4 linked regions of the Lepisosteus oculatus genome follow. The protein of the gene in region 4 interacts with the protein of the main gene of each other region in a pairwise test. Links are inferred from orthologs where the notes say so. Each region holds a gene or a part of one and is shown on either strand. Other genes may lie near its edges.

What was found.
Region 1: the proteins of usp2a (region 4) and lhx4 interact in binary tests that used the Homo sapiens proteins (3 or more experiments, as listed by UniProt). The two-hybrid records come from large-scale screens. The link is inferred for Lepisosteus oculatus from reciprocal best matches to the Homo sapiens genes USP2 and LHX4.
Region 2: the proteins of usp2a (region 4) and ndel1b interact in binary tests that used the Homo sapiens proteins (3 or more experiments, as listed by UniProt). The two-hybrid records come from large-scale screens. The link is inferred for Lepisosteus oculatus from reciprocal best matches to the Homo sapiens genes USP2 and NDEL1.
Region 3: the proteins of usp2a (region 4) and homer protein homolog 3 interact in binary tests that used the Homo sapiens proteins (3 or more experiments, as listed by UniProt). The two-hybrid records come from large-scale screens. The link is inferred for Lepisosteus oculatus from reciprocal best matches to the Homo sapiens genes USP2 and HOMER3.

The regions. Positions count from the first base shown.
Region 1 is NC_090704.1:26,256,383-26,263,657, forward strand, and holds the start of lhx4 (LIM/homeobox protein Lhx4), read right to left. Parts: upstream 3,007-7,275; 5' UTR 2,782-3,006; coding exon 2,694-2,781; intron 1-2,693. UniProt on the Homo sapiens protein: May play a critical role in the development of respiratory control mechanisms and in the normal growth and maturation of the lung. Binds preferentially to methylated DNA.
Region 2 is NC_090704.1:43,782,965-43,790,194, reverse strand, and holds the start of ndel1b (nuclear distribution protein nudE-like 1-B), read right to left. Parts: upstream 3,005-7,230; 5' UTR 2,916-3,004; coding exon 2,846-2,915; intron 1-2,845. Other genes in the region: RING finger protein 222, read left to right, coding at 4,749-5,411. UniProt on the Homo sapiens protein: Required for organization of the cellular microtubule array and microtubule anchoring at the centrosome. May regulate microtubule organization at least in part by targeting the microtubule severing protein KATNA1 to the centrosome.
Region 3 is NC_090724.1:3,910,930-3,918,381, reverse strand, and holds the start of homer protein homolog 3, read right to left. Parts: upstream 3,011-7,452; 5' UTR 2,450-3,010; coding exon of another isoform or gene 2,445-2,449; intron 2,068-2,444; exon of another isoform or gene 1,856-2,067; intron 569-1,855; 5' UTR 542-568; coding exon 519-541; intron 1-518. UniProt on the Homo sapiens protein: Postsynaptic density scaffolding protein. Binds and cross-links cytoplasmic regions of GRM1, GRM5, ITPR1, DNM3, RYR1, RYR2, SHANK1 and SHANK3.
Region 4 is NC_090718.1:14,956,604-14,964,605, forward strand, and holds the start of usp2a (ubiquitin carboxyl-terminal hydrolase 2a), read right to left. Parts: upstream 3,006-8,002; 5' UTR 2,684-3,005; intron 775-2,683; exon of another isoform or gene 611-774; 5' UTR 527-610; intron 1-526. UniProt on the Homo sapiens protein: Hydrolase that deubiquitinates polyubiquitinated target proteins such as MDM2, MDM4 and CCND1. Isoform 1 and isoform 4 possess both ubiquitin-specific peptidase and isopeptidase activities.

The sequences.
Region 1 (7,275 bases), on a different chromosome or scaffold from region 4:
GTTATTGTACCATATCTTATTGACCTGAGTAGTTGTGCAGTTGTTAGTGGAAAAGTTACTGACTTCAGAGAGGTGGACACAAGCAGATGCTTGTGGAAAATGGGATCTTAATATGCACGACATTTGGAATTAAATAATGGGGTTTACAAATCAGTGGCCTGAAAACTGGCAATGCCAGTTTACAAAATCAGGTCATTAATCTCTGGTGCATGAGCCTGTACCTCTGTTCCAGTGAACTTAGCCTTTACCCAAGGCCAAAGAAAAGATGGAGGGCTTTCAGACTGAACCTTGCATAGAGTATGCTTACATAATACACAATCGTGATGAATGCCTGTGTTGTTGATGATAATGATGATAATATCCAGGAAAAAAAACATTTACAATGAGCTTCTGGCCTATGCCAGTGTTGTTCAGAATACAAAATCATCAAAGAAAGAAAAGGGTACCCAAAGTCAGTAGTTCTTCTTGCAATAAATGTACAGTAGTAAAATAAATCCCCATTAAAACTATAGAACTTACTGCAAAAATGAGGTATAACTACCACAAATACTTTCCTCTGAATCATACAAGGAACCATCCATTGGACATCACCTATACAAGCAGATACTAACTGAAATTTCAATAACCTTTAACACACCCATTTGATAAAAGATATCTTTAAATAAGAACAATTAAGATATCAGACAAACCACTTAATCCATTTACCGTTGCTTCTTTCTCCGCTTACTGGAAATTTTTAAACAGGTTTTGAAAGGCTTAAAGCCAATTGGAATCCTATTAACCAGCAAGAAAAAGTCAGGCACTGGAGAGCTGCTCAGAAGGCACTGCTCGTGTTTTGAGCCTGTTGTCTGGCGTCGTAAACACCAATGAATGAGATGTAGCATCTGTACGATTTTGTTTGCGAGGTGTCCCATGCTGTTGCAATGTGGTCATTTGCTTACAAAAAGGATCTCTTTTTTTTTAAATGGCGTCAAATAAAGTAACTGTAAAAGTAAATTTGCAGGCAATACCACTTGAATCAAATTTTAGATTGTAAATTGTTATTGACAAGACTATGCAAAATAACGCTTGTGAACATTAGGCAGGGCTATAAGTTAAATATGTATTACAGGTATACTGTATAGTGTATAACATTACCCCAAGCCAATAAACATTTTAGTAGTAAAGCAGTCGGATAAGTTTGAGTACCGTTCAGGAGTCCCTTGAAAATGACGCTTAGTTTGGATGTACAGACTGCTTCTGTAAAATACCCCCCAGTATAAATGTAAGTCACTTTGAATAAAAGCAGCGGGCAGTAAGGACCAATAAAGTTGACAAGATCATCTGAGTTGAGACCTTGGCTGACTGTTGCAATAAAACAGAGCAGTGTGCACCAAATAATTTCTCATGGAAGTTTTTTGGACATTGCAAGCATTGGGTTACTCCCAAGGCCTCTGCAAAGATGAGAGCTCAAAATTAACACCAGTCAAAGGAAGTAGGTGTTCAGCTCCTAGCAGATCTTCACTGAGCGTCCAGCCAAATGCAAAGCCTGTCTGGTCATAGGTTATGAACCATGGATTCACACTGGGACCCCAAGCCAACTCAAGAGTAAAAAAATCGTTAAGTGTGAGAATTATATATTTTTCAGTAACAAAATAGCTTGGCATGGAGAATACTGTTTTCTTCTTGTACAATCTGTCCTATTTATCTTTTAAGATTCCATAGTGCTTAAAGATCGGAACTCACTCACCTCAATATTGATTTTTTTTATTTCTTACAGTCATAAATCATACTTGTTCCCTTGCAGAAAATGTGAATAGTGTTTTATGACTGGATGCTGGGAGTGTGCAATGTCAGGGACATGTACAATGCTAGCTGTGGAATTCTATTTCAATGTGGTTGTACTGTGTTGTCTGTCACAAAACAAAACTTCCTTCTCCTCTTCAGTTGACATTCTCCTAGCCTCAATGTGAGGTTTCCTTAAAATAATATATGAGACGGACTCGAGATTACCACACTGATCCCAAACCCCCATTCTTTTTTAATTTTGTTTCTTTGGACAATTTTATGGTTGCCTTTTCTTTTTCAGTGAAATACAGGTACCTAACAAAAAGCCCATTTTTGTCTTTACTGAAACATTTAAAATACAGCACATTACCAGTGAACCTTTTCCATTTAACATGCATCCTAACCAGGAGTAATTGATTACAGGTCAGTAACTACTCTGCATTTACATCCTAAACAGAAGCAAAGAAGTGCAACACTCACAGATCTAATTTTTGAAAACACATTGATTTAAAAATAGCACAAAGTCCAACAGTCCAGGAGATGATAAAGGCCACTTAACCTGGCTAATACATTGGACTGGACCTTGTACTACAGTATGTTTCAGTCGGTGAAGTTACTTTATCTTGCCTAACAAGCAAAAATAACAGTTCTTGTCTGGCCATCTTTACTTTTTTGGCTTGAGTGGTGGTGTTGCACTTTAATCTGTCTGTGTTATTTCTACCATTCTAAACCAAAAGAATTGCAGATGACACAGCTTGAAAGGCCACACAGAAAACAAGAAGGCTAAGTCTGGACATTCTTGGTGTGTTTCCTCGGCACACAGGTCATCATTGTGCAGACTGACAGATGTGAGGTACTGTACGCACTGCTGAAGCATAAGAACTTTGCTGAGTGAGAACTCACCGACCCAATCAGGCCAGACTCACCTTGATGGAGCTGCTCCTGCTTCTGCAGCCAAACCAGAAGGATTTCTTTGGGGATACCATGCTCCCCAGGATACAAAACAGAAGACATGTCCCTGCTGCCTGTTCCTGCAGCACCTACATGTACAGTACGTTGGCTCTGAAGGCTTTGTTCCCTCTCTGCTCTAATTCCGCGCGAGTTGTGACAGCGGTAACAGAGCCATTTTACAGCAGCACAGGTTACCTATTTAATCCAGTTTGAATCAGCAGTGGCCCTCCCCTCCTCTTGGCTCTCTCTCCTCTGCTAGGTCCTGTCAGGTCTGTTTATGCTCCAGGGATCAATGGTAATATATTCAAGTCTAGGACTGCCTAACAAACTGGGTAGCTGGGTATAACATTCTTGGTTTTCTATCGAGGTTAAAGCCTCAAGCCAGTACATGATTTTCTTTTAAAGCTACTCCTACCACATTTTACAGGGCATTGTAAAGAAGGCTGACAATTGATGTTTTGAAAGGCGTTTTTCTGGTCACATTCTGTCTACAAATCCAGCACATTTAATGACTGATGTCATTAAACACCAGGATTTGCTTTTGTGTGCTACAGATGTCTATACAGATGTACTAAACAGGTCTATTCAAACCCACTACACTGACTATTCAGAGTACATTAGTATGGTTTCTGGAACAATACTAAATATACCGTAGGTGAAATGCCAGCAGAGTTAACATTTTCTGTGCTACTTTTTTGGTTCGTGAAAGGAATAGTGTGTTCTCACATTCAATCAACGTACCTCGTTCGATGACTAAAAGCTAAATTCTTCATTTTATAAATTAGCACAGAATCTGTGATAGTGAGTTTACTAGACTAGTTCAGAAGAGGATGGTAGCACACTGAGTTGTTTCTGCAGATTGTCATTTGGCATGGAAAATGCCCATATAGCAAATCCTGTACTGGTTGAAAATTGTTTTCTACGCAGATCACACAGCAGTCTGCACTAGAAAGATGACATATCTAGTTCTGCTCTGAAGAGCATTTAGTGAACCTTTCAGGGCCGTGCCTATACTAGACCAATCTCTCAAAAGTGGGAACACCTGGACTCAATGGAAGAAGGAACTAGACTCCCATGATATCCCATGCTGTGAAGGTTTATTATTCTTGAGAGAGCCTGTAACAAGTGTGCTTTTTACCAAACCTGTGCTAAAGAAAGAGTAAAAGAGATCTATAAAAGCTTTGATGCCTTTGACTAATGCAAGACATAAGTTAAAAGGAATATAGTTTTTTCTTTTGTTGACAGTTTATAACAGATTTAAAGGCTGATGAACCTTCATTGTAGTATGTTAATGATACAACCAAACTCCACTGTAATTTATTTCTAGAGCAACATTTTTACAGTACCTTTGACTGGCCGAATTTGTTATAACTATGTATTCAGGGTTAAAAAATGGTTACATGTAGAGGTTCTTTCTGGTAGCAGAAAAGCCACCAGCTCTCAAAACAAAACTCTTGGAGGTTAGGGCTCCAGAATCACTGCTTGAATCTGACGAATATGTTCTTGTTTTGAAAGGTCATGTAAATAAAGGTAACGATAAAATAAAGGTTGGCTTTGGCTTATAAAGATTACTTTTAAGACTAGACAGGAAGATTGATAAATTGAGAATAAACCTCATAGAATTTAGTTACGAGAAAGCAGGCCACATCATTCTAGTGAATGGCAAAAAAAACATTTATTTTGAATAATTTATCTGCCTTCATAGAACAATCCTTATGGCTTTACTGGCCTTGAGGAGATTTAAACTGAAACCAGTGTGTGTAACTGGATCAGTGGCATTAGAGCTGGAATTAGATTTAAGGATGTGGCTATTGATTGATTGTTTTTTAAGCAGAGATGCCTTAACCCAACTTTAGTGCTTTTGGTTTGAACTACATTACAACTCGAGAGTGGATTTTGAAGTCTGCCTAGAAGACTAAATAATTATTTCCTTCAATACAGCTCTCAGTAAATGTTACAAAAATTAAGATGACATAAGGCTGGGTCCCCTTCAATAAAGAAACCTTAGGACATCCTGAATTTAATTTTAATTTTTTTATTTCTATTCTATTGCAACTGAACCTTCATTTTTCTACTCTAATTAATCTTTATCCTTTCTGTAAAGTTTGTTTTGAGTTGTTGTATTGATTGTATTTTTTAATTGTTGTCAGCTGTGGGCTTTTGGTTTCAGATATATACTGGCTTTTAAAGGTTTAAAGATGCTCAGTAAATGCGGCATTTTATGCTAGGTGATTCTCAACCTGTTTAATAAATTGTTGCCTTACTAATCTATTGAAATAAATAGCTCAGTAAAAAAAATATATCATAAAGAGTCCAGGAATACAAATTGCCAGGGTAGTAATAAGGATTATTACAACCCTAGGTCTGGGGAACATTGCTTTCAGACCATGTTTGGAATATTATAAAACTAAAACATGCTGTGCCTTTCCATGACCTTAAACCAACATTTTCTTCCTTTATGTAGATCACTTTAAAATCACTTACAGAACTTAAAATCAGGTTTCTCACATTACCATTTCGTTTTATAGTATTGTTACATAACATGTTTCAGTTATGTACATATCTTTATCTAGTGGTCTTTCAGAATATTTTTCTGATTGTTAACAAGAATGTAACCAGAATCCAAATGTCTACCTCTTGGCATGCGGTTTTCTTTCATTTTTATTTCATCCAGCCTTTTTAATACACAAACTACAGTACAGTATGTCAGCAGATTTCAGCACCATTGTATGATGGACAGCTCCCAATCTGCCTGTTTTTCAAGTACAGTAATCTGTGTTAATATCTGAGGAATGTTACATGACAATAAAGGGCTTCAGTACATCACCCAACATTCTCCATCTATTTCTCTCTTCTAGATGTTGAAATAATGTCACACGGATTCTCTTCTAGACAATGTTCTTGTGACTGTGCCAATAGGTGCTCACACTAATTTTTGCCAGGGCTGGCCCAAATAAGAATGTGGCTACAAGTCTTTCTTTCATTATCTTTTTTATTGCACAATTAATCAGTTAGTTATCTAGGGAGAACACCAACATTTTATGCTGTAGTGTCGAATAAAAGCAAAGCTATAAGTCTGTTAATTTGTGGATTAAGAAAAAAAACATAGATTTATATCCTCATTTATAAATGATTGGAATTCCCATCTGATATATATGGTTATTTTATTCTTGCCACTTTGCTGTAAACCTGTTTTATAACCAACAGAAGCCTAAATGTTTAAATTTTACTGTTTTCGGTGCACTCTTCCTGCCAGATCATCTTGGTTATAAAAGGAGGGCATTCCCATCTATCCTGTTAATTAGTTGACCTGAGGATTTTATTTAACCATTTCTTAAATTAAGTCAGGGTATCTGCTTCAACAACAGGTCTGGCTAGCTTTTCCTATACTCCCATGACTTAGTATCGTCTCCATTGCCCAGTCTTGCTAGCGAATAAAACCATCCTCCTGTTCTCACCATCAGCTAGCGTCTTTGGATTGTTGCTCCCATGGAGAATTCCTTGCTACCACACTTTCTTGTTCCAGTTCTACATCTGTCCATAAGAACAATTTTTGCAAATGAACGGAACCCACTTTTCCATTCATAACACTGTTATGTTAAGAACATAAGAATTAGGTACAAATAAAAGGAGTCATTCATTCAGCCTATCTTGTGCAGGTGGTAGTTAGGCATTTATTAAACAAAGCCAGGGTACTGGTTTCAACAACGTGGTTGGTTAGCTTGTTCCATTCTCCCCCAACCCTTTATGAAAGATGTACCCCCAGTTGTTGTTCTTAAATGGACTTCCAAGTAGTGTCCACTTGTAACCTTTGGTCTGTGTTTCACAGTGCGATCTGAAGGAGTCGGTTGGGTTGACTGTGTTGGAAGTCTTTAAGGATGCTGAATATTTCCATCATATTCTTGACTGCTGAGCCTGTAAAAAGGTTCAGTTTAGGTAACATAGTCTTAGTATTGGTTAAAGTAAATCACAGTCTCAAACTAACCTCACGAAATGAAATTTTGTGGCTGCAAATAAAAGCACAAACTAAAACCACTGCATCTGAAGATTCCTGGCAGATTGTGAATCCTTCTTGAGAAGGAGAGGTTGAGGGCTTGGTGGCATAGCAGCATGATCCAGAGGTACAGTACATTAGAGACACGCCTACAAGGACTCTTACCACAGGGCACTTCCAGAACATGTGTAAGAAGGTAGCAGATACGTTAATGGAAATAAACAGAGATGGTTGGTGATAATCATCTGGATACCCTGCTTTGGTGTTGCTTAAATTCTGTGTGCAGGTTTAAGATGGATATACAGTACTAAGTTTTAGGAAGAAGAGAAACCCGGACTGCATTCCTATCAAGTCTGTCAGGATCTCTGATCTTTTATAGAGCATCATATATGCCTATAAATATACGTGGACCATTTGCAGCATAAGACTTTGTCACATTCATACTGAGCCTTTAATGCAAAGTCATAAGCTGAAGTCAAGGTTGGGATGTCCTTACAAGACCACTGAACAGAGCAGATGACAACATATATTTCTGTTCGTCCTCTATTTCCAGCAAAATCCGT
Region 2 (7,230 bases), on a different chromosome or scaffold from region 4:
GATCTTAGTGAGTCTTAAAAATGACCAACACCTGAAAAGTCAAGCTAGTCCAGCTAAGCTGCTAACGGAGGTTAAGAGCCCAGCTGGGTCACAAACCCACAGGCACTGCGGTGCTCCAGGACCTGGACAGGACACTATTACCTCAGATGTTCTGATTCACTCCCCTTTCTCAGTGGACAACACTTGGACTTCTATATTCTCAAGTACAAAAATTATATATATATGAATAGAAGTTACTATTTCACAGTGCTATTGTTATGATAACCAAGTAACGACATTCTGTTTTTTTGGACATTCTACACTAATAAACAAAAACACTGGATTCTGCCAAATCAATGACTGATTTTAACACACTTTCCCTGTTCAACGTTATAGGCAGTTCAGGTAAGAATTTCAATTTCCAAGCATTTTAACATAATATATAATAATCCAGTAAAGTATAAACTAATTGGGGAACTTGTCAATACCAACTATGTTAGATTGGTTATAAGATACAGGGACTTTGGTGGTTTGCATTCATGACTTAAGATGAACCAGCAGGATTTTCTCAATAAATACACGTCTTTATAATGCACTGTGTAAGGAGAAACTGGTTGATAGGTGAGCTACGGACATACTAGAAAATCAAAGCCATGAAGACTGACTTACTACTTCTTGATGTTATAGGGATCACAAACCCAAATCACATTTAAAGCAGTGTTATGAATTCACCCACAAGATAAACATGAGAGCAAAGCTTTATTTAGACAGTTTAAAAAAGTGAAACTATGTGTAATGCAATACAGAAATTGACACTCGGGACTGTTTAAATGTTTACCTTCAGACAGTGAGGACAGAAGAAGCCCAAAGAATAATAAATGGCAAGAAAGAGTACAGCAATTATGTGGTATATACATTTTCACTACAGGACACATTCTATACATAAGTCTATTTTAAATATAAAATCTCATTAGGATACCACACATACAAAAAGCTAGATTAGAAGAACACCCTGCATAAGAGAACATGAACTCATTCAGGAGACTACAACGAAAGTTAAAGCAACAAACCAAAGTCCACGTTTACAGATTCTCATGATCTAACTATTGCGTCACCTCCAGTAAAACCAGCACGACCTCTGCCAGCACATATTCTAGCCACCCCAGCCCATCTGGATGTCATTAATATGGTAGAAAGCAATTTATGCCTTTTCTCTCCCTCCGTCTTAACAGGGCCAAGTTGAGTCACTGCGGTGAAGCCGCAAGGAAGATATTGGACAAATGAGATGCTTCTGCAAACTTCTCTCACCCACCCCTCTCCTAGGTTAACACATGATGTAGTCCATCCTGCTGTGAGAAACAAGACGTCCTGAGAGATAAAACAGTAGCTGGTCAACATGTGGTACTAATAACACCCAGGACGTGGGTTCGATCCCTGCCAGGCCAGCAGTGCCGTGCTTGTTTATGTACTTAGTGCAGCAGTATGGAGCAATGGTTAGAGATCGGGACTTGTTTCAGCCTCTCCAGTAAAACACACAGATGTATAAATGGGTGCAAATATCTGCTGTTTTGGACAACCGTGTCAGCCCGATACATTCTTTTACCAATTTATGCCCATTCACCAGGGCAATAGCAAGTTGATTAACGTTAAAGTGCGAAAGTAAAAACAGTAACTTCCCACTCAGGAAGCAGTAAAGAGTCCTGAAAACCAAAATTTCACTCCTCAGCCTTAAGACCAAAAAGAATATATTTCATTCTCCTTTTTATTTAACGATTCACCCAATAATAAAAGTCCATACAACAAACTGGAAGAGATTCAACTTGCTGGAAATTAAAACTTAAAAGACATCATGTGGAGGTCATCTCCTGGCTGACATTTCATCAAAAACCATGTTCCCATGATTCTATAAATAGTTCACATTTAGGTCAGTTGTAAAAAGGTAAACAACCTATCAATGTAAATTGATAAACTTATGTGAAATGTCACCTTCTTATTCAAGCATTATTAATATGAAAGAATACCAATTTAAATTTACTGTGCTGAACTCATACACACTATCGAAGGCTTAAACAGACGCTACTTCAAATAAACCACAGGAATGACATAAGAATTTTAAAAACACTTCCTTCAGTCTGAATATTCCAGTTCAACGTTGTGGACTGTCTAGAATCAACGAACAAGAGAGAGGACAGCTCTGTTTATCTGTGACAACGGTTTGCATTACGAAAGTGTCATCTTTACGCGATATGTGATATATAGAGAGTTTTGTAAAAAAAAAAACGTGATTGATAAATCCTACATTTCATGGGTTTATTTCTGTCAAGCGTGGGGAACTTGCACACAGCAGGGCCGTTTGAGTGGCAGTCATGTTACCCAATTAAAACCGAAATGTATACGTCACATCCTGATCCCAGCCAATGAACACGGATGAAGGGCGGGAGCATCAGAGGTTAGACTGACCCTCTTGCAGTTCAAGCCCGAGAAACGTAATATGGGACAAGCCGCACCCGAGAATCAAAAACCGGTACCATTGGTGAGTCTTCATTGGAAAAGACTGGAGAACATTAAAAAAAGCTAAGAGGCTAACATATAACAGTCGTGTCCGAGGAAAGTACACAGCCCATCTCAAGCAATGACAGTCTAACAACCTACAAAAAACGATTTGAATAAGCTAATTTAGCATCGTCCCTTTTGAAATGAACGGAGCTAACCTCGTTAGCTCACAATTACGAGTCAACAATTTGTAAAAACCAAAGCTTTTGGAAAAGTGACAAACGGACACGCATCTACGGGCAAAAGAACATACAGCTCGAGTCACACTAGGTGAAGCGCAAGTTGTTTAGAGTAACAAGTTAAAAATACATACCCGAAGAGCTACCTGACGTCTCCAAAAACGGCCCTTTACTCCATACAAGACCTAGAGCAGACCGCACCATTTTTTTTCTAATCTCGGTGACATATTTTCAAGCCAGCCACAGATACGATCTTTGTGCAAGTGGGAATTTCAAGTTGCTGCCTAGAAACATGACACGTCAGACAGAAGTCGGCTGTCAACAACGACGGCGTCGCCTTCCCCCCGTCGAACCGCAGCCATTCCGCGTAAAATACACGCCGCTTCAAACCCTGCTCGGCATTTTCGGAGCGTGGAGACTAGTCCTTACCTGAACATCGCCGGCCCGTATCCCTCTGGGCGTCTGGGTCTCAGCACATCCCCTGTCTCCTCTCTGTTTAGTAACTGAATCTCGGCTCTCCAGCCCCTCTCCACCGGGGTCACGCAACTTCCGGCACGACGTGACGTCACAGACGCGCACGGCCTTCCCTCCGGGTGACGCAACTGCACACCGATTGGAATTCAAGGATTACTCAGATTTCTTGGAAATATCATTTGATACTTTTTTTTAATGCTATGACTACAGCCACACATTTTTTCTTGAGTCGTGAGAATTCTTTTTTTTACACGTATGAATGTCATTTTTAGCAACTTAATAAAAATCGTAGAACTTAAATGCTTTATACAATTAAACGAATGGAGAGCCCGTTCATTTAGAAATTAATTTAGCAATGTCACGCACCTATGTCTACCTAAAAATCGGCACCCAAATTAAACAGCCGTATTTTTCCAATGTTTCGTTTCTTTTTTATCGTCGTGCGCCGACTGGTGGAAGATCTGCAGCCGCCAAATGCCCGACTCGTGTAAAAAAAAAAGAAAAAAAGGGGAAATACACTATCTGGTGTTCTTTTTTTCCCAAACAACGTATTGCATGTACTACATATTAAATTACACAAGAAAACAAGTAAAAGTTTCTATCACTTTAGAAGTGGTTATCAAAACAAAAGTTTACAGAAAAAGTAACACCGTCCAACAAGAGCCAATTAATCACAGCCACAGTGCCTCTCAATTAGTCCCAAAGTGGCTAATTACCCTATTAACAATAAATACCGTTTTAAAATAGTGACAAATCTAGTGCTGTGAGAGCCGGGTCTTTTAGTGTTTTGTCTCTTAACAAAGGGACAAAGTTCTTAATAACAGATTCATTGATCGCGATTTTATATTTATGATTTTACGTTTGCTTTCAGTATTTTGAAAATGTTGCGTAAGTGCTATCAACCGTATACGCTTATTTCCGAGTTTCAGAACTCCTTTCACTCAGCTGTGTTACCTGTGTTACCTCTACAGGGGAAAACAAAAAACGTGGTCAGGTATCTATTCCACCTAACTCGTGATAATTCCGGGGAATGTGCTGTATAAACAAATATATAGTGTTGTCCCTTAACCTATAGATGACCTACATCAGAACATCAAAATGCTCTGCAGAAATCAGACTTCGTTTATGTATAAACATATAAGTATTTTTCATAAGGGCTGTTTTATAAGTAATTTATTGAATTCAAGTAAAACAAAAAGTCCAAAGACAATCCGGTTTTTCAGCCTTTTGATCGTCCAATGTAAAGGAATCTGTGGGCGCACCTTGGCGGTCACGAAGGCGCTCGATGTCGTGTGTGAATTAAGATAACCGGCTTGTTGACACAATATTGGATCGGGAGCGTATCGCTTCACCACACTGGTGACAATCAGTTAAAAGACAATCAGGGCTCAGGATGAGGCGAGCGCAGGGCTGAACAGGGCTCTGAGAAGGACATACTGTAGTGGAGCTGGAAGTCGGGGCATTCTTTCGATGTTGGAGGAGAATCGCTTGGGATGCGGGGTGATCTGTAATGCGCTCTGACTGCAGTCACCTCCTGGGGGAGTGAAGTGGGAAACGGCAGGCATGTCTACAGGGGATAACAGCACGGGGGCCGGCAGTGACGAGTGTCCCGTGTGCTACGAGACCCTTAAGGACAACAAAAGGACTCTGAGCTGCGGACACGGCTTTTGCCACGACTGTCTGGTCAAGACTCTGGTCGGCGCCAACAGAAGTGGGCACATCACCAGGCACATCATCTGCCCCATGTGCAGGCACCTGACGTTCCTCACCGAACAGGGGGAGGACGTTGTGAAGGTCAAGAGCGCCAGGAAGGACGCGCAGATTTTGGAAGTTACCCTCTCTCCTCCTCCTCCGGTACCCCCTTTCCATCACCCCCTTCCGCCGCCATCACCGGCCCGCCACGCCGCCGGCCGCGCCCCCCCGCGGGCCGGTGACAGCGGAGCCAGCCGAGCCGTGTGGTTCTTCCGGAGGGCTTCGTCGAGAAGGGTCAGCTCCCGACCGCCCGGCCCTGCCCCCACCCTCCAGATTTTCACAATCACCAGCCAGGGCCGGCCCATGGCGGACGAGGACGCGGTCAGCGTGACGGCAGTGACCACCGTGATTCCCGTCCCAAGAAGGCGAAGTAGACTAACGTGCGCCACAGCGCGATGGGTGCTTACGTGTCTCGTTGCGGCAATCGTGGCGGCTGTGGTGATAGCGGTTATTCAATGTACAATGTGGAGATAGCTCACGTTTTCAATTCCCCCACCGCTGCGTCCTCCACTAACATCACATCCTATTCTGATGCGCCGATTTCCCTTGAAAGCCGTAAAGCTGTAAAGCCTGATTGCTGTGAAAGTCACTATACAAGTGTTTGCTCGTTCTTTCCCCGTTAGCACATGCAAAAAGGTGCATCTAATGACGGCCAAAGGCACTAAGAAGTAAATTCGTTCATGCTGTACCTTCAAACAACCTTTTGCTCCAGTAAAGTGTGTATAAACGTGTGGTCATAAACGTGATTTTCTTTTCAGTTGATTTATCTGGTTATGGGATTAGATACAAAGTGGACATATTGAGATTTAAAAAAAAAACTCCGTCTTGGGTAATATTCCACTTAAGAATCGGACAGGATGAAACCACTCATTGCACTTCCTTCAGTATTTCATTGTCTGTCTTATTGAGAAATATCCGTTTCAGTGTCTGTCGTAATCATCGCTCGTTCTGTGAAGTTGACCAAGTTATGATGGCAATGTACTTAATTACAATTCCGCTTTTATTTAATTAAACAATAGCGATGTAATATTACTATAAATTAGGGCTTTTTTTTTGGTAAATTATTCAAAAGATTTTTTTAAATAAATCCTTGGGTGTTTAAATGTTTATTGTTCGAGGCGTACACATCTGGTGGTATCTATTTTGATAGAAAACGGCTGTGAAATAAAAAATCGTATTTTTTCATTTTGTCTTAATTTTTCTTTACCCAGTCTTTCTAGTCTTGAATGCTTCCTATGACCCTTGAACGTGCAAACTGTCTTCTCCGGTTGATATTGAAGGGGAATTCAGTGAAGTGATAGTGACAGGCATTTTCTGTCCTAATCAGAAAGCAGATCCTTTGTGTAAAAACAAGTCTTCTTCCTTGATGCTTATGATTCATGATATACTTGTTTCTGTTAACAATGTCATTTAAATAGTGACAATGGCAGTAATGAAGTACACTGTACCTCATCTTGTTTTATTTCTCAAAAGAAAATCACGAGCAGTTTTTTTAAACAAGATTGGCACATTGGTTAGCATTGCTGTCTCACAGTGCTGGGGCCCTGGGTTCAATTCCCAGACTGCTGTCTGTGTGGAGTTTGCATGTTCTCCCTGTGTCAGCATGAGTTTCCACCAGGTGCTCCAGTTTCCTCCCACAGGCCACAGACATACTGGGAGGTAAACTGGCCCATCCTTAATGGGCACTGAAAAGCTATTTTCATATTTTGGGGTCAGAAAGAATCACCACTGGTGAGTGGATTTCAAACAGAATGAAAGTAAAACGTGCACAGTAACTTGTTAAACCTCCAATTTACATCACAAAATAGACAAAAGTTCCACATATGTGCAGCGCTGTATTGCCGTTGTAGTCTGTGATTCAGAATGAGACAACAAAATTTCCGGTGAGGTATTTCCAGTGTGCTTAATTCTGAATTTGTCAAATTGTGCAATACCGTCAATTAATCAATTAAGTAAGTAATTAATTAATTGTTACCGAGATTTAATAACCTCTTGGAGAAATTGCGACTGCAGTTCCCCTTTAATCCCCGTTATAACGCTATCCCCAAACTGAGCTTCACACCCTCTCTCCCTTAACCTACACTAAAACAACATAATACATGGTTTAGGAAACAAAGTATACCACAAAAGTTCAGTCTTCCTGAGACCAACACAAGTCATTAACTCAGCAGTTTAATGTTTTTGCTTTTTCAAGCGCGGACAATTACAGTACATTGTTATCCTTGGGCTGCTCCACGTGTGCAGTAGAAATCTGCACCTTGAAGCCTCTAATTTGACATTCAGAGGACTCTCA
Region 3 (7,452 bases), on a different chromosome or scaffold from region 4:
CCTCTGTATCAGAGAAAATCGTCTCAATAAAAGTCACAAGGGGCTTGACAGTTTCCTGCCAGCCACTATAAGAGACAACACTGGAGCCATATATTAGTGTCCAATGGCCTTTCTGCCACAGAACTCATGTTAAATAAACCCACTGGTTATAAACTATTTACTTGGCATAATGTCCACGATCAACTGCTCTACAGTTTTTTATTGTGGTCTGTTCCATTGCAGACGAGTAATTGCAATGCCATCCGTAGAACCAGTCACTAAATAATGTAGGTCATAACGAAGTGACTATTGCAAACTTTTTCCCAGGATATGAATCACAACTGACCACAACCCCTGGGTAATACACACTGGGGTTCTTTGGAGAGCAGAAGTTAAAGGACCTTCCTTTTCAAGATGTGTTTATTGAAATACCCCACCCAACCCCAACCTCCCAGGCAGGACAGCCTGCAACTACCTGACTGAGCACAGAGGCACGCACACACACAACACACAACACACACGAAGGACGTTACTAGTACCTTTCTCTGTGTAGTGGATACATTGTTACAGGCTAGGAAGAGCTCCTTTTCTACAGCAGAAAGAGAAAAGGGGAAAAAAGGTGTAAGTGACAGGATAAGAGCATGCAACTCCATCAGAAAGCTGGATAACCAGCAGCAGCTGCAGACAGACAAGGTCACAGCGAAAGAACATTTTCTACAGCAATATCTGGTCACTGATTACAACCTAGTAATACCCAGCAAGACACAAACAATAGGACAACACATGCGGGAAGGCGGTTATAGAAATTCTCCAGATTTTCATGCCAATATCTGATAGAGAGCAGAGAATAGTGTTTCAGCTCTGCTCTAGAGCATACAGAGCCACTCAGAAGAAGTGTCCAAGTCAATACCAGGGCATGAACCTTATTTCTTATTCCACCCTAACCAACTTCAGGAACAATAGAGACGACACCTGATGCAGCTACTGAAAACATTTTCAGAGAATTTCAGAAGATCGTCTGATTAGGTGAAACTTCTCTTTATTTAAGAGCGCTGGTCCTAACTGGAGAATTTTCCTTTGGCATAAAGGCAACACAAGAGGAGTCCCACTGTGTTGCTCCAGTGCGTGACTAATCACACCCACCCGTGTTTTACAGAAAGTGCACAAGAAAGTGAACCTACTTATATCAAGCCGGGTGTGTGTGTGTGGACGGAGCACATTTACTCCACATATCCGTGCAATTACATGCAAGTTGTCACGAAAGATCCTTTCCAATACTGTCTCACTTTTGTACATTGTAACAACACCTATGATCCAATTACACAATTCGCTGCTACTATTAAATGTTACTAATCGCCGATGGTATCGTTACTTTAGAACGCAACACGATGCTTCCGAACAGCACGGCGAAATCGTCTCTGCCACGTGGCTTTAATAGACGAAAACTCTCGCGACAGGACAGGGCAACCCACGCAGAACTGTCTCCCGTGGAATCCTGGAGACCGCGAAAGGTCACAGCGGAGCTCTCAGGCTTTCTGCTGGCGAACGTTCTCGCTCAAGTGTCTTTCCAGTCATGTCACCTGGCGTGAAGGTTCTGCGCCCGAGTTGTGTTTCATTAAATATGAATGTTCAGCTCTGTGTTCCCACGCTCTGAAGACGCGAAGTTTTCCCAACAGAGGTTTCTTTTAAAGCACTTAAGCAGAATAACTTGAGGGCGACATAAATACTGTAGGTTTTTCAGCTGTCTTGCAACATAGTAGGAGGGCGTTCCTCCAACCTTTATGCTGCTTTTAAATCCTGTTCCCTTATCCCTCCTACATTTTACTAGCTTCCCCGATTTAAAGCGTATATTTCGAAATAAATGATCCATACTTACATGCCCCGTTAACTGCATACAGTATGTGCTTAGGTCTGGCGCTGGGGGGAGGGGGTAATTATTTAAAAGCATGCACAGGTCCCAGATTTTCATTTTAGCACTTCGTTTATTAGTTTCATACCGGTAAAATCAAGGGGGGGCTCCGCCACTGACAGCCACAGCATGACTGTCCTGCTTCAAAGTTTGTTTGCGTTTAAAGAAAGTAAAAAATCAGACCCAGCCACTGTCGCAGCGGTTTTTAAAGACTAATCCAGCAACACGAGACGAATGCTTTCGTAAACGCCGCCAAGGGCAACGTGTCAAGATACGTTCTGAAGCTAGCTCATAGAAAAGCACTTTTCCCTCCCAAAAGAAATTCATCCAATGCGAGGAAAACAAATATGAACTGATACTCTCCGTGCATTGCTGGTATTCGTCAATCCGCGAAGAGACACTGGAAGGAGGCTATGTTCTTAAACATCAGTTTATTTATAAATATCCACATAGAAGCAATGTGGTCAATGTAGCGCCATCCTTAACTTTTCCCTCATTCTGCTATTAACAACATTTTTTTTTTTAAGTTTTAAAAAATAATAACAACATAACTCACCCCATTTCGTTTTTACTCCTGTGTAGATTTTGTTTTTATGTCAATGCTGTGCAGCCCCGTTTTCTAGCTGGTCATGAGAGGGTTTTTTGTCAGGCTTTCCCGTTCTTTTGTCTACGGATCCGGATGCTTCTTAAATTTCCACCGGAATTTCACTGCATGAAAAGAGGGATGAGTTCTTGGCTGTGCTTGCCCCCCGGAATCAAGCTGTGCAAGAATCGCCAATTATGAGTCTTTTCAGAAGGAAAAAAAATGTTCTCAAACGTTGTATTTGCAAGTTCGGAAGGTGCTTCGTCCTGTACTGCAGTCCTTTTGTCTCTCAGAGTCTGTACTGCCAAGTTCCTCTTTCTCCTCGTTCTGCACTCCGCTAACCATATGATTTAACACTCATGTTCTGTATTTCAGCTTCCCGCGTTGCAATAGTCTACAAACGAGTTTATTCTTGCGTTTGTTTAATGACGACTGTCAAACCTTCGGGCTAGCTCTACTTTTCTGCGGGCTCATGGTGTCTTCCAGTCCTGAGAACGCTGCCACAATCCCATTCTGGATGGCAGTTCTTGCTCCAGTTAGGTTTTAAACCATCTTGTTCGCCACCTGCTGGTTACACGCGGAATGACACATCGCTTAAAGCTGTCGAACCTAGTGTTCTGTTTTTAAAAAACTCCCCTCTGTGCTTTCTGCGGGTCTGAACGCCCCCGCTCCCTTTGTTAAAGAGCTGTCATTTATTTAAACCACAGGTGCACCATTCCATTCCTCTAGTGTCCAGAATCCAGCAGGTTTTCTGGGTCGTTTTAAATCCTCGGTAGATCTTCGAAAAGAGTTAAACTGGTCCAGTGAAACTAACGATTAGGCCAATTAGGTCATTCAGAGCAGAGTGGGATAGAATCTGGAGACACTGCGACGTGCCAGGAATGGAGCTGTGCACCACTGATTTCAGTTTCTTTGGGGACTTAACTTGCAGATGAAAACATTACATATATGGACTCATATAGGATACTATTACAGAAGTTTTAAAACTCTTGGACTTCGCTGTATCAGTGTCATAGCAGAAAGTAGTCCTTTCTGTGTCTGTAGCACAACACTCTGTAGCACAACTCTGATTATTGTGCACCTCAGATATCTTGTCAATGGGATGTGGATATCAAAGCTAAGAGTAATGCAGTAGTAACTCATCTCAGTTAAGAGCATATATCAAGAAATAGTGTATTACACCTTATAAACTAGAGCTGGCAGCACAGACACTGCTGAGAGCAGTGGATTCCTAAATAGGCATTTATTTTCCTCCATAGTGACTCTGTGTGCGGATTTCTTTCCACTTGGCTTTAATGAATGTGTGTCACCTTGGTGATGTCTTTTATATCCAGATGAGCAGCTGTCCTGCATTGGTGTAAGATCCTGTCAGATCTCAGAAGCTCTGTAAGGTCAGTAATGGAAACAAGAAAGAGAGGACTGAAACAGAAAATACAAAAACTCAAGCCAATATGCAGTTAATGAAGGGGGCATGCTGTAAGAGGCACTGCTTTGGATGTGAAATGTCAAACTGAGCTCCACACAGCAGATGGTAAGTCAGCTCAGGTATTGACCCTTCATGTCCCAGCTCATTGCTGTACAATTAAATGAATTCAGATCTGCCCTGTTTTAGAGTGAATTGTGATCAGAGATGTTAGCAGACACTGTGTCACCTGATCCCATCAGATCTCAGGAGCTAATCGAGGCTGGGCCTGGGATAGAAAGCCTCCAAGGAAATCGGGTTGTTGCCACTGCAAGTGGTGCTGGTGGACCGGTAGGTGGCGCTCTTTGCTCCGTCAGAATTTCTAAACCAATGTCTCGGTACAGTGACTGAGATAGGAGGTGCCTTCGTTTGGTTGTGATGTTAAACCATGATACTGACAGCTTGATCCCAAGAGATCATATGGCACTTTTTGAGTGGGTAACTGGTGTGATGCTTAAATTCTTCAAATGCCCAGGCTCGCACAATCTAGAGCTCTCTCTTAACTCAGCTCACGTCTGCTCCTGATCTGCTGGTTAGTGGGCTTGCTGGTGCAGAGGGGCTCCCATGTGTCGATGAAGTGGATCCCCTCCTAAATGGAAAGTGCTTTAGGATCCTTTGACATGAAGCGTTAACAGGAATCACAGACTCTGTTCTTATCTCCCGCTTTAAAGAGGCCAATATGAAACCCATTGCTCATCCTCAGACAGCAGAGCAGCTGACGCGACCGGAGGAAAGCGAGAACGCCCCTCTTTCTTCAAGCCCCCCGGCTCTGCGGGTGATTTCATTCGTCTTCTATGTGCCGGTGCTGCCGGCCCCCCATTCGGGACTCCGACACCCCCAAACCCACACGGCAGCTCCATTCAACCAAGCTGCCCGTCAGACTTCGGAAACATGGCAAGTCCAAAGCCTGCCATTAAAGTGGAAGATGACCAGATAAAAATCCCCCACAATATGCTTCTTCTGGTTTACTAAGGGAGTGTTTGATCTACTTTGAAGTGATCTATCCGTATACACAACTGTGTTCTGTAAAACTTGAAGCCAAATATATAAGTGAAATCCTAAGACACTGATGGTGCACAAATTGCCAAATTCAGCTTCTTTTGGTATTTTTCACATCCCCTTTTTTCTCAGTTAACACTGTCAAGTCTTTTCAGAAGCTTGTCTTTCTTGTTGTTTGGTTTGAACAACAGGTTAATAGGACAAAGAGTTGGAAACACCAAATTAAAATATAATTAATGTGAAAGGACACTCACATGTGCTCTCTACAACTTGTGCTATATAACTAAATACCAGTTTCAGACTGACCTGATCATACATACTGAATCACTGTTTTCCATTAATATTCCACTGCAAACTAACTGGGTCTCATAGCATTAAGCATAACATGTGAACATCAATCCCAAGTAGACACTGTATTAGCCAGGAGTCTGGCTCAATCCCTCCATTTTGAGATTTATTCCTGGCTTTCCCAAGACTCGGTGACAGTAAATTTTCTGACTGCAAATATCATACCAGACAGGCAGGGAAAGTGCCACATGCAGGCATTAAAAAAGTCCCTATTCTCCAGCAGCTATGAAAACTGGCTGTATCCAGGTCTGGGGATAATGCTGTGTGTCTCACTATAAACCTGTCTTTCTAACGGATTAAATAAAAACTGATTTTTCTCAACATGTTGTGTCCTTAAACCACCTGACAAGAAAAAAACAGTGTTGCACAGATGTCCCCACTTATGATGAGAGCTGGTGAGATCTCTCTCACACTAGCCTGTGACTTGACTGCGCTGTAAAGACTGGTTTCGTGACAGAAGCGCAGCGTGAGTCCACATGATGGAAAGGTACCCCGATTGTTCACATCACCATGCTGAAGGAATCTTGAAAAGAAAATAGCATTATCCGTGTGAAATATAGATTAATAATACAGAAGCAGACAAATATATGTAGTGTATTTAGCGTGGTATTCTATGCTGATGTTCTATTTTCCTCTCTGAAGGTGGCAGTACTTGAGTTAATGCCCTAGATTTGAACTCAGTCATTATATACTCTTGAGAAAACACTGTAAAAATGCCATTCGTTGTTTGTATTGTGAGTGTTGTAACAGCTGTTCTTTCGCTCCTCAGGGAACCTCCGATTCAGCGTAGAGCTTTTCAAACGTGCTGCAGTATACTGTAATAAACACCGGCGAATTTGCTCGCTGTACTTTCCTAAACAATGCTCGGAATAAATCCCCTTTAGCCCCTCTAAACGAGGCGTAATCGGCGTTCAATTAAAAAAAGAAAACGAACGAAAGGGAAATCTATAGTTTATTCTCAAAGGATAAACAACAGCTGTCAACCAACTGCGGTTTTATTTTCCTGTTCAAAGATTTTTTCCCTTGTAGCCAGAAGTAAAATGTAATTTTAGTAGATCAGTACAGGCGGAGAAAGATATGATTAACAGTCTCTGTCTCCGAGAATGGAGGAAATGAGTTTCAGACAGGATTTGGGATCGAGTGACCACGCCCCTCCCTAAACGTCCTCCAATCAGACCGCTATAGGTCGACACACCTTCTAACACGTTGCCCCTCCCACCTCCTTATTAGGCAGGGCAGAGGTGTGTTTATAATGAAGGCGGGGTTGAGGAGATAGCAGTATTGCTTTGTTTCATACAAGCTTCTTAAACGATTTTTGCTTTTTTTAACTATGAATTCCTACTTTTCAGTAACATTCTCGAAACGTAATAGTGAAGATTACTAGCATGTCTATCTGTCCCTTAACACATCCTTAACATTTGGCTTTTTATCATGAAAAACGTGTCCAGTACTGTTATAATTTCTTGAGAAGTAAAAAGTTACATTTTGCAGTTCTACACAATGCATGGAGTGGCTCCAAAAAGCCTTTTTAGTTTAATAGCACTGACCGTGACAGAGGCCTGGCAGCAGTATTTACAGGTGATGCTTTAAAATACGTTCCCTGCAATTACAAGTTTACAACATAAAGAAAAGTTTGTTAATTCTGGATGACTGAGAAACGGTTGATATGCAAAATGTGCTGTTTGCGCATTCACCACCCCTACAAAACCCATTTTCCAGGACAGCTCATAATCTTTAAAATGCCAGTAAGGCAAACAACATTTTCTCTCATTTAAATCCTTTGCTGCCCTCTATTGATTACAAATGCGTCCAGATTTTACTTTTCCCAGAATAAAAATCACTTTTAATTAAGCAGTCAGATGTATTAGATTACTAAACATAAACTCTGAAAAACATACCTATTTTATACATATGTTGAAAGTATTTTGAGTACCACTCACGACTACTAAAAATTGATTGGGGGTGTTATTATCCAATGATCAATCAACGTTATTAGTCACTGCATGCTTTGCTAAAAAGATTTTATGCAGTGTTTACTACTTCTATAAGAAGAATGAAAATTAAACTTAGTCTGTTTACAATTACAAACCAAATAATTCCTTACATTTATACAGCACTCCACTCAAAACACTTCACAGACCCCACACAGCAGCCATCAGTGGGAAGGATAAC
Region 4 (8,002 bases):
GCACTGTCCACTCCACACACGCGCACTGTCCCCTCCACATTCGCGCATGTCCCTTCCACATGCACTGTCCACTCCACACACGCGCACTGTCCCCTCCACATTCGCGCATGTCCCTTCCACATGCACTGTCCACTCCACACACGTGCACTGTCCCCTCCACACGCACACTGTCCCCTCACATGCACTGTCCCCGCCACACGCACTGTCCCCGCCACACGCACTGTCCCCGCCACACGCGCTGTCCCCGCCACACGCGCTGTCCCTAACCTGAACATGTGCTGTCCCATCAACACGCACTGCCACCTTCACACGCGCTATCCCCTCCACACGCACGCAAGCACTGTCCTCTCGGCGCGCACACTGTCCTCTCGGCGCGCACACTGTCCTCTCGGCGCGCACACTGTCCTCTCGGCGCGCACACTGTCCTCTCGGCGCGCACACTGTCCTCTCGGCGCGCACACTGTCCTCTCGGCGCGCACACTGTCCTCTCGGCGCGCACACTGTCTCCTCCACACAACACAGTTACCTTGCACCAGAAGCCGGCGGACAGTGGGAGTGAATGGAATCACTCAGCACACGGCGCCGCCTCTTCCTCCGCTCTCAGGAATAACTGGAGCAAACAGACAAACGCCTAAGAGGAGCAGCCCAGGCCAGAGAGAGCCGTCAGGATGGGAAAGCGGCGACAGATCGGCAGAGACGCCTGTCGAATCCCTGCTGCGGCAGACCTCGGAGCAGCTGTGAGCTGGAGCCCCAGCGAGGAGAGGCTGGGAGAGGCTGTAATCCAGAAGGGCTGGGATCAGGTTACAGGGCTGGTAAATATAGCGTTTGCCTCTGACCTCTCAGGTCACTCAGCACTCGCTTGCATTCCAGCTCTCTTAAAGCGGAAGCCTCTTACTGTCATTTTCTCTGAACTGTCCACCATAGCTTCTGCTTCGCGCTCCAGGTCAGAACTGCCAGTTCCCCAGCGGGTCAACTCCCCACCATACCCCTCGGACACATGCAGGACAGGCAGAGAAATGTGCCTGTGCACACTGCAGTCCACACAAGCCCAAGGCAGGACGAGGCCCCGGAGAGGAGGCAGATGGACCGTGGCGATGTGCGCAAACTGTGCTGACCAGGCAGTAAGGCACATATTCCAACACTATTTTAACGACACACAAAGTCTGCTCCAAGGGTCTGCTGTCCCTGGCACCAGTCGTCCACGTCACTGTGATGTGAGCTCACACAAACCAGACTGCAGCTGCTACAAGCCTGATCTGTCCCCTCACCCTGATGTTTACTGGGAGCCCGATCTCTGTCCCCCACACACCACTGTGCACAGGGACCCTGATCTCTGTCCCCCACACCCCACTGTGAACGAGGAGCCCGATCTCTGTCCCCCACACCCCACTGTGCACTGGGAGCCCGATCTCTGTCCCCCACACCCCACTGTGCACTGGGAGCCCGATCTCTGTGCCCCACACCCCACTGTGCACAGGAGGGAGCCTGATCTCTGTCCCCTCACCCCACTGTGCACAGGGAGCCCGATCTCTGTCCCCTCACCCCACTGTGCACAGGGAGCCCGATCTCTGTCCTCCCTCACCCCACTGTGCACTGGGAGTCTGATCTCTGTGCCCCACACCCATTTGTGCCCACACCAGGAGCTCTCCAGCATGGATTCTAGGGCTCAGGTCGCCTGGCCAGTGTGGGAGCAGCCTTGCGTGATCCCACTGGAGAGGGCGGAGATGCAGTATTGAAGGGGGAACGAGGGCGAGACCTCTGACCCTGAGTTTCTGCCAGAGAAGACACTGTCACGGTGGGTGCTGTGGCTTCAGACTTCATCACTGCCTCCCTCCCAGAGGGGCGGGTCTGTGGCACAACCTGGTGGCGTCAGGGATCAAACTGAGAAGGACTCTGCCCCACAGCCCTGGGTTACAAACAACCGTTTTTGAATTCACAATCACCCAAATGGACAAACTTCCACAAAGGCGTGTGTGTTAACCCATTTAGAAAAAAAAACAAAAACAAAACAGGATTCACGCAGAGTGTGGGGACTTTTATTTCCAACGGAATTCACCAGCAACCAAATGATCAATCAGCCCCCATCCCCTTCAATTCCAAGATCGTACCAATCTACACGGGGACGTCCCGTGACGTACTCTCACAAGATCAGAGGTGCCACCACCACCCTGGCAATGCAGCTATTAACCGAAGCCAGCACAGGACACCGGCAGTGCAGATCTCAGCGCATATCCCAAAACTCTGTACCGCAGCTTTCATGAGGCTGCCGCGATCTAAAAACCTAACTAAAATGCTTACGGCTCTCCTCTCGCCCGTGAGATTTCCCATGACGTACTGGCTCCCACATACAGTTTGCACGGGACGGTCCGGGACATGGACACAAAAGGGCCTGGCGCCGACGGGACGTCCAGAGCTGGAATCTTGTCTGGAACTGCACCCACCGGCCCACGAGCCAGACGGAGGGGCGCGAGGCGAATAACTGCCCCCCCCCAAAAAAAAGACAGTCGGTAACAACCTGGTCCCGCAGCGGACGCGGAGGGGACGGCCCGCTGCCGAACCGGTGCGGATGGCGTTACACAACGCGTGATGTAACACGAACCGACCGGCGCTTCACCGGAGCAGCAGCCCCTGGCGAGCTGGCCGGCGGGGCAGCGCTGATCGGGGGACACCGTGTGTCACTTACATCGCCGGGCTGTCACCGGGCCCCGGGCGTGAGGGGGCGACTCCCGGGCGGAGAGACCAAGCCCGGCCGGCCGCAGCGACTCGCTCCCTGTCCCGGATCGGAGGGCTGTCTCTGCCGAAGCCCACCGGGGCGCTCTCCGCTGTCTCTCGACCCAAGATGCCTGGTCCGGGGGACTTGTCTTGTGGGGACGGAAGTTAAAACAGTGGACATTCAAAATAGTAATAATTCACAAAAAAAAAAACAAGTTCTAAGCCCTTTTTTTACAGTCCAGTTTCTTCCCAAATAACGGGTCTCCTGCTCTCACAGTGACGTCGTCCCTTCACCTTTTTGTCGCTGATTGGTTGCTTCACTTTTCCTGACGTCACATAGCACCGCCTCCCACGCGGTTGCCTAGGTAACGGGAGTAAACACACGCCACCTCAGGACACCGTCCCATTTCGTGTAGAAGCGCACAGAGCTTTTCGTGCCCTGTTCTTGCCGTTATGAACACACCAGCCAAGAAGTAATAGGTTTATCCCAAGCTGAAAAGAGAAGATGAAAACACAACGTTTCGGCCGTGGAGCCTTCTTCAGGTGTGAGCGGCTCCACGATCGAAACGTTGTGTTTTCTGTCTTCTCTTTTTCAGCATGGAAGAAACCTATTACCGTTCCTTTGCAGCCTACGCATGCTGACGCAGCTACCCTCCTGAACTACTACTAGCCAAGAAGTGCACATAAGAAATATTTTAATATTAATTCTGAATTCTAAATTGATTTGTTTTGTTGTTTGTTTTTAATAAATTCAGATTGTCCCCACAGCGGTCCTATAGGGTTTCACTAGCGGTAGACTCACATTCCTTCAGAAAAAAAAGGTCTGCAATACCGCAATAAAATACTTTCAAAGCGTTGGGATCAGAAAGAAGACGTGTGTTTGCTTGGTTTTACGGTAATCAAACTGTCGTTGTCTATCCTCTTCAATACCCCACTGCTGCTGCGGTCAAAGCAGTTGTGTTCGGGTGAGGACCCCTGGCGACGGGATGACTGAACTGCACTTGTTCTTTTCTGATCGTGTTGTCCATAGACGGTCCGTTCAAACACCTTCGTCCTAAAACCTGTGCACTAACAGCGAGATCACGGCACGTTTCCACACCCGACCAGGTAGCTGACGAATAACGTTTGCTTTAGACAAAGCGCCGGTAGTAAAAACGTAAACGTTAAATATACACAAAGGGAAATACTGAGCTGGAAGATCTTATGAAAGACGTAGGTGTTAAAGCTGACACTTTAAATCTTTGACAGTGTGGGGAGGTCATTATGAAAGACGAACAAAATGCCAGGAAATAAAGTGAAAAGCCTAGAATTATAATACTAATTCCTTACACTTTTCTTTACACTCCACTCAAAGCGCTTAAGGCTGAAGGAACTTAGTATTGTACAGGTAAGGATTATGGGTTCGAGGCAGGTATTCAGAATCCTTAAAGACACTGACAGTCAAACCAGAGAAGTTCTTAAAGATAAACAAAAAAACAGAGAACAGTTGTGGAAACAGTGTAGAAGTGCAGTACACTAAGAACACGTGTTCTTAGAAACCCAGTGAAGCCTTCTTAGGTGAGTTTGCTGATTTTCTCTCATTTTTATGCCTTAAATTTAAAAGGATCCTTATTCTAGGGGACTTTAATATACACATTGACTCAAGGTCTTCCAGTCTGGTTAAAGACTTAATTTCTCTATTGGGATCCTTTGATCTTACTCAGTTTGTTTGTACCCCTACACATAACAAAGGACACACCTTGCATTTAATTATTGCAAATGACTCTTTTGTCTCCCACTGCTCCCCCCTTGATCTAGGCCTCTCTGACCACTTAGCCATTCTCCTCAATCTAGAATTACCTGTTTCTAACACTTCCCCCTCACGCTCTGTAAATTATCAGGCTTGGAGAGATTACTTATCTGAGTATAAGGTTACTATAGAGTCTGCTAGATCCATCTACTTCTGCCATTACCCCCGTGCCAAAAAAGCCTAACATGGCTCTCGACAATCTTAACAATTTTTGCCCCATCTCCAACTTACCCTTTCTTGCTAGTGTTCACATTACTCCTATCCTGGAGTCCTTGCACTGGCTTCCGGTCAAATTCCATGTAGACTTTAAAATCCTTATGCTCACCTATAAGGCTCTGCATGGCTTGGCACCTCAGTACCTGTCTGATCTATTATCGCCCTACTCCCCATCTCGCAACCTTCGCTCTCTAATTCGGGTCTCCTAACTGTCCCCCCAGCCCGTCTACATTGTATGGGCGACAGGGCCTTCTCCTGTTGTGCCCCCAAGCTCTGGAACTCTCTCCCCAAGGATATCAGAGAGTCACCTTCTCTAAACTCCTGCAAATCCAGACTCCAAACCCTCTTCTTCAGAAGAGTCTTCACTGAACTGTTCCATTCTTCACCCCTCTGCTCTTCTTACTACCCCCATCCACGGTCTCCTCTGTATACTGTCATTGTGTTTTATCTTGTGTAGTCTTCTTATTTATTGTTGTTGTCATCCTGTAAAGCGCTTTGAGAAGGCACCTTTAGAGGCGCTATATAAAATAAAATTTTTCATTATTATTATTCTTCTTTACACAGAGGGTGGTGGGAGTGTGGGACAAGCTACAAAGCCATGGTGTTGAAACTGACAGCCTGGCTTCTTTCAAGTTACGGCTGAGATACTTGATCAATTAACTACTAACTACCAAAGGGGCTAGATGGGCGTAATGGCCCCTCTCATTGTAACACGTTTTCTTATGTTCTTATTACTTTATGCCTCAGCTACACCGCTCTATTGTAATATCGCACTGCGGCGCCCTCTGGTGGACACTAATGATGTCCATCTCACTGCTTGAAATACAGTGAACTTTGAACCATATTTCACAAAATCGTGTACAGTACAATCCAATGTGGGCAATCCGTAGGATTTCAACACCTGCAGGGAACTGTAGACGTTTCCAGTGACGTTATTCAATGTATTAATCTAATTTTACAGTATGTGTACCAAAGTGTTAACCTTTCAGGGAGAACACACAAATCATATATTTCAATTAAATGTTGTGTATATCCAATAGTATGAAGTGTACACAGTAATTTATATTTTTCTATAACCTTTCCAATTATATATATATATATTACAATTGCGATTGCAGCAGCAATTAATTTTATTCTTTGTTGAGCAAAAAAAAAGAGCTTTATTTAGTTTCTTAGTAATCTTTAAAGGGGTGAATTCATGATGACCCGTTCCTCTAAACACAACCGCATTGCTGTGTGTTGAGTCAGACCCTTCTCTATCTGTCCTCACAGATACCAGGTGTCAGGGAGTCTACGTCAGGCCACCCATCTCTTACAAACTCGTGGTGCCCTAATCCTGAACCCGATTCCATTAGAAATGACACTAAAAAAAAAAAACCACCACCACAATCACAAAGAATGTGCTCTTCTGATCTTTTATGACGGCGGTCGCATCCTGCTCTGTGCATCGTAACGGACATCAGAACCAGCCTTCAGTCTCGTAACGAGGAAACTAAATGCAGCTGCAGACCACTACAGTGTATGATCTCCTGGCACAGTCAGGGGAACAGAGCATGAGCCTCACAGATAGCTGCGTTTATTGTTACTGCTTTTACAGCACTGTAAATTCATCAGTCGTTTCTATATATCTTATGAGTCATCGTCAGTGATTCATAGGGCTTTAGCAAGAGGTGCTTCTGTATGACAATTCTTTAATTAACCCTGACACTGGCCTTTAGGTCTGTGACTTAACCAGGATTTCGCCGTCGAATCACCGCAGTCTGTGTTCCAGCGGCCCAGGGCATCCGAGGATGTCAGCCGGCACACCAAAGGGTTTTAATTACGCACTGCAGTACGCACCCCGCCTTTCATGTCAATGTTTAATTATATACTGTGCGCCGCACCGCGCGTTTTCAGGCGTTGTTAGATTTGTGCTGAAAGTACATCGCCCATTAAAGGACACCTAATCGACGGGCGTCAGCAGAAAAACTGGAAACATTACGCTTAAGTTGAAACAATGACCTCAAGTGTATCATTAGCGGGCATTGCATATGCCCACCACCGGAGGGCGCGCTTAAAGATGCTTGCAGCCGTCACGCAGGTGACCCACCAGTGTTCAGTGCCGTACAGTCCGTTGTCGAAAATGGCTTCAAGATGACGACATCTTCTCGACATCCCTTTGTCTTTACAAGAATCCCCCAAAGCCATGTCTGTGATTTAACCCCCCAGTGCAGACAGGTGTCTGCTGCAAGACTCTGGGGTCATTTCTTCACAAATGACACCAACAAGCAGACCAAATAGGGAACAGTTTCAGTTTATTTTTTCAAATAAGGCAAGAACAGACAAAATACCTATACAAGATCAAATAAAAGTCATTTATCTTACAAAATGTCTCATCACAAACCCCACATCAACAGGAGCTCTCGCCTGGATGGTGCCAGCTTGGCTCACCATCGCCCCCCCCAGGCCACTGCCTGTGCCACCGCCTGGCGCCAGGAGAGTGTCTGTTCTGCAGCGCCTCTGGCAGACGTGCAGAGCCGAGCAGCGCGAGGACAGCGGGTGGGACAGACGGTGACCAGTGTTCACCCTGCTGAGGGGCAGGAGGACGGGGGACTGTGCCCGAAGCTCAGGGCAGCACCCACACATCGCACCAGAACATTTTACACAGTTTCCATGGTAATCTACACAAGTAACAAACAGATAGACATTATCTTACAGCTCCTCCGCCAGACTCGAATAACATCCACGCCGTGGGGGAGGGTCACATCTCACAGAAAAAGTAGCTCCAGGTCAGCAGGAAAGACCCATGTTTTTCTGGTGTTTTTGAACATTTCTAGTTCTTAACCACGAGGGCTTGACAGCAAGAAAAACACAGAAAAAACATTTCTTTCCCCTAGAATTATGCCAGAGGGGCCATGTTAAGGTTCCAGCAAACAGCTGAGGGCGCAGTGCCTAGCGGGCCGAGCTCACAGCCTCAGCCCAGGGCGAGCCACGGAGCGCACCTCGCTGATCCCCCGAACGCCTGTTCAGGCCGAACTGACTCAGGGGGTCTGGGTGTTGCCAGCGAACAGCACATGGACTCTGTCCAGCAGGGGCCACCAGCATGACAGCATGAGCCATGCAACAGGAAGGAGAAATCGGTAGTTCATCAAGGTGAAAAAATGGCCCACAAAATTCATAAAAGCAATATTAAAAGCAAATGAAAATTACAGTAAAAACAAACTCAAAATTAAAATGTGCACAGGAAGTGCAGGGCTGGGGTCCAGTCTCATGCAGCTCGTCAGTTTCGGGAAACCGACGCCGCTG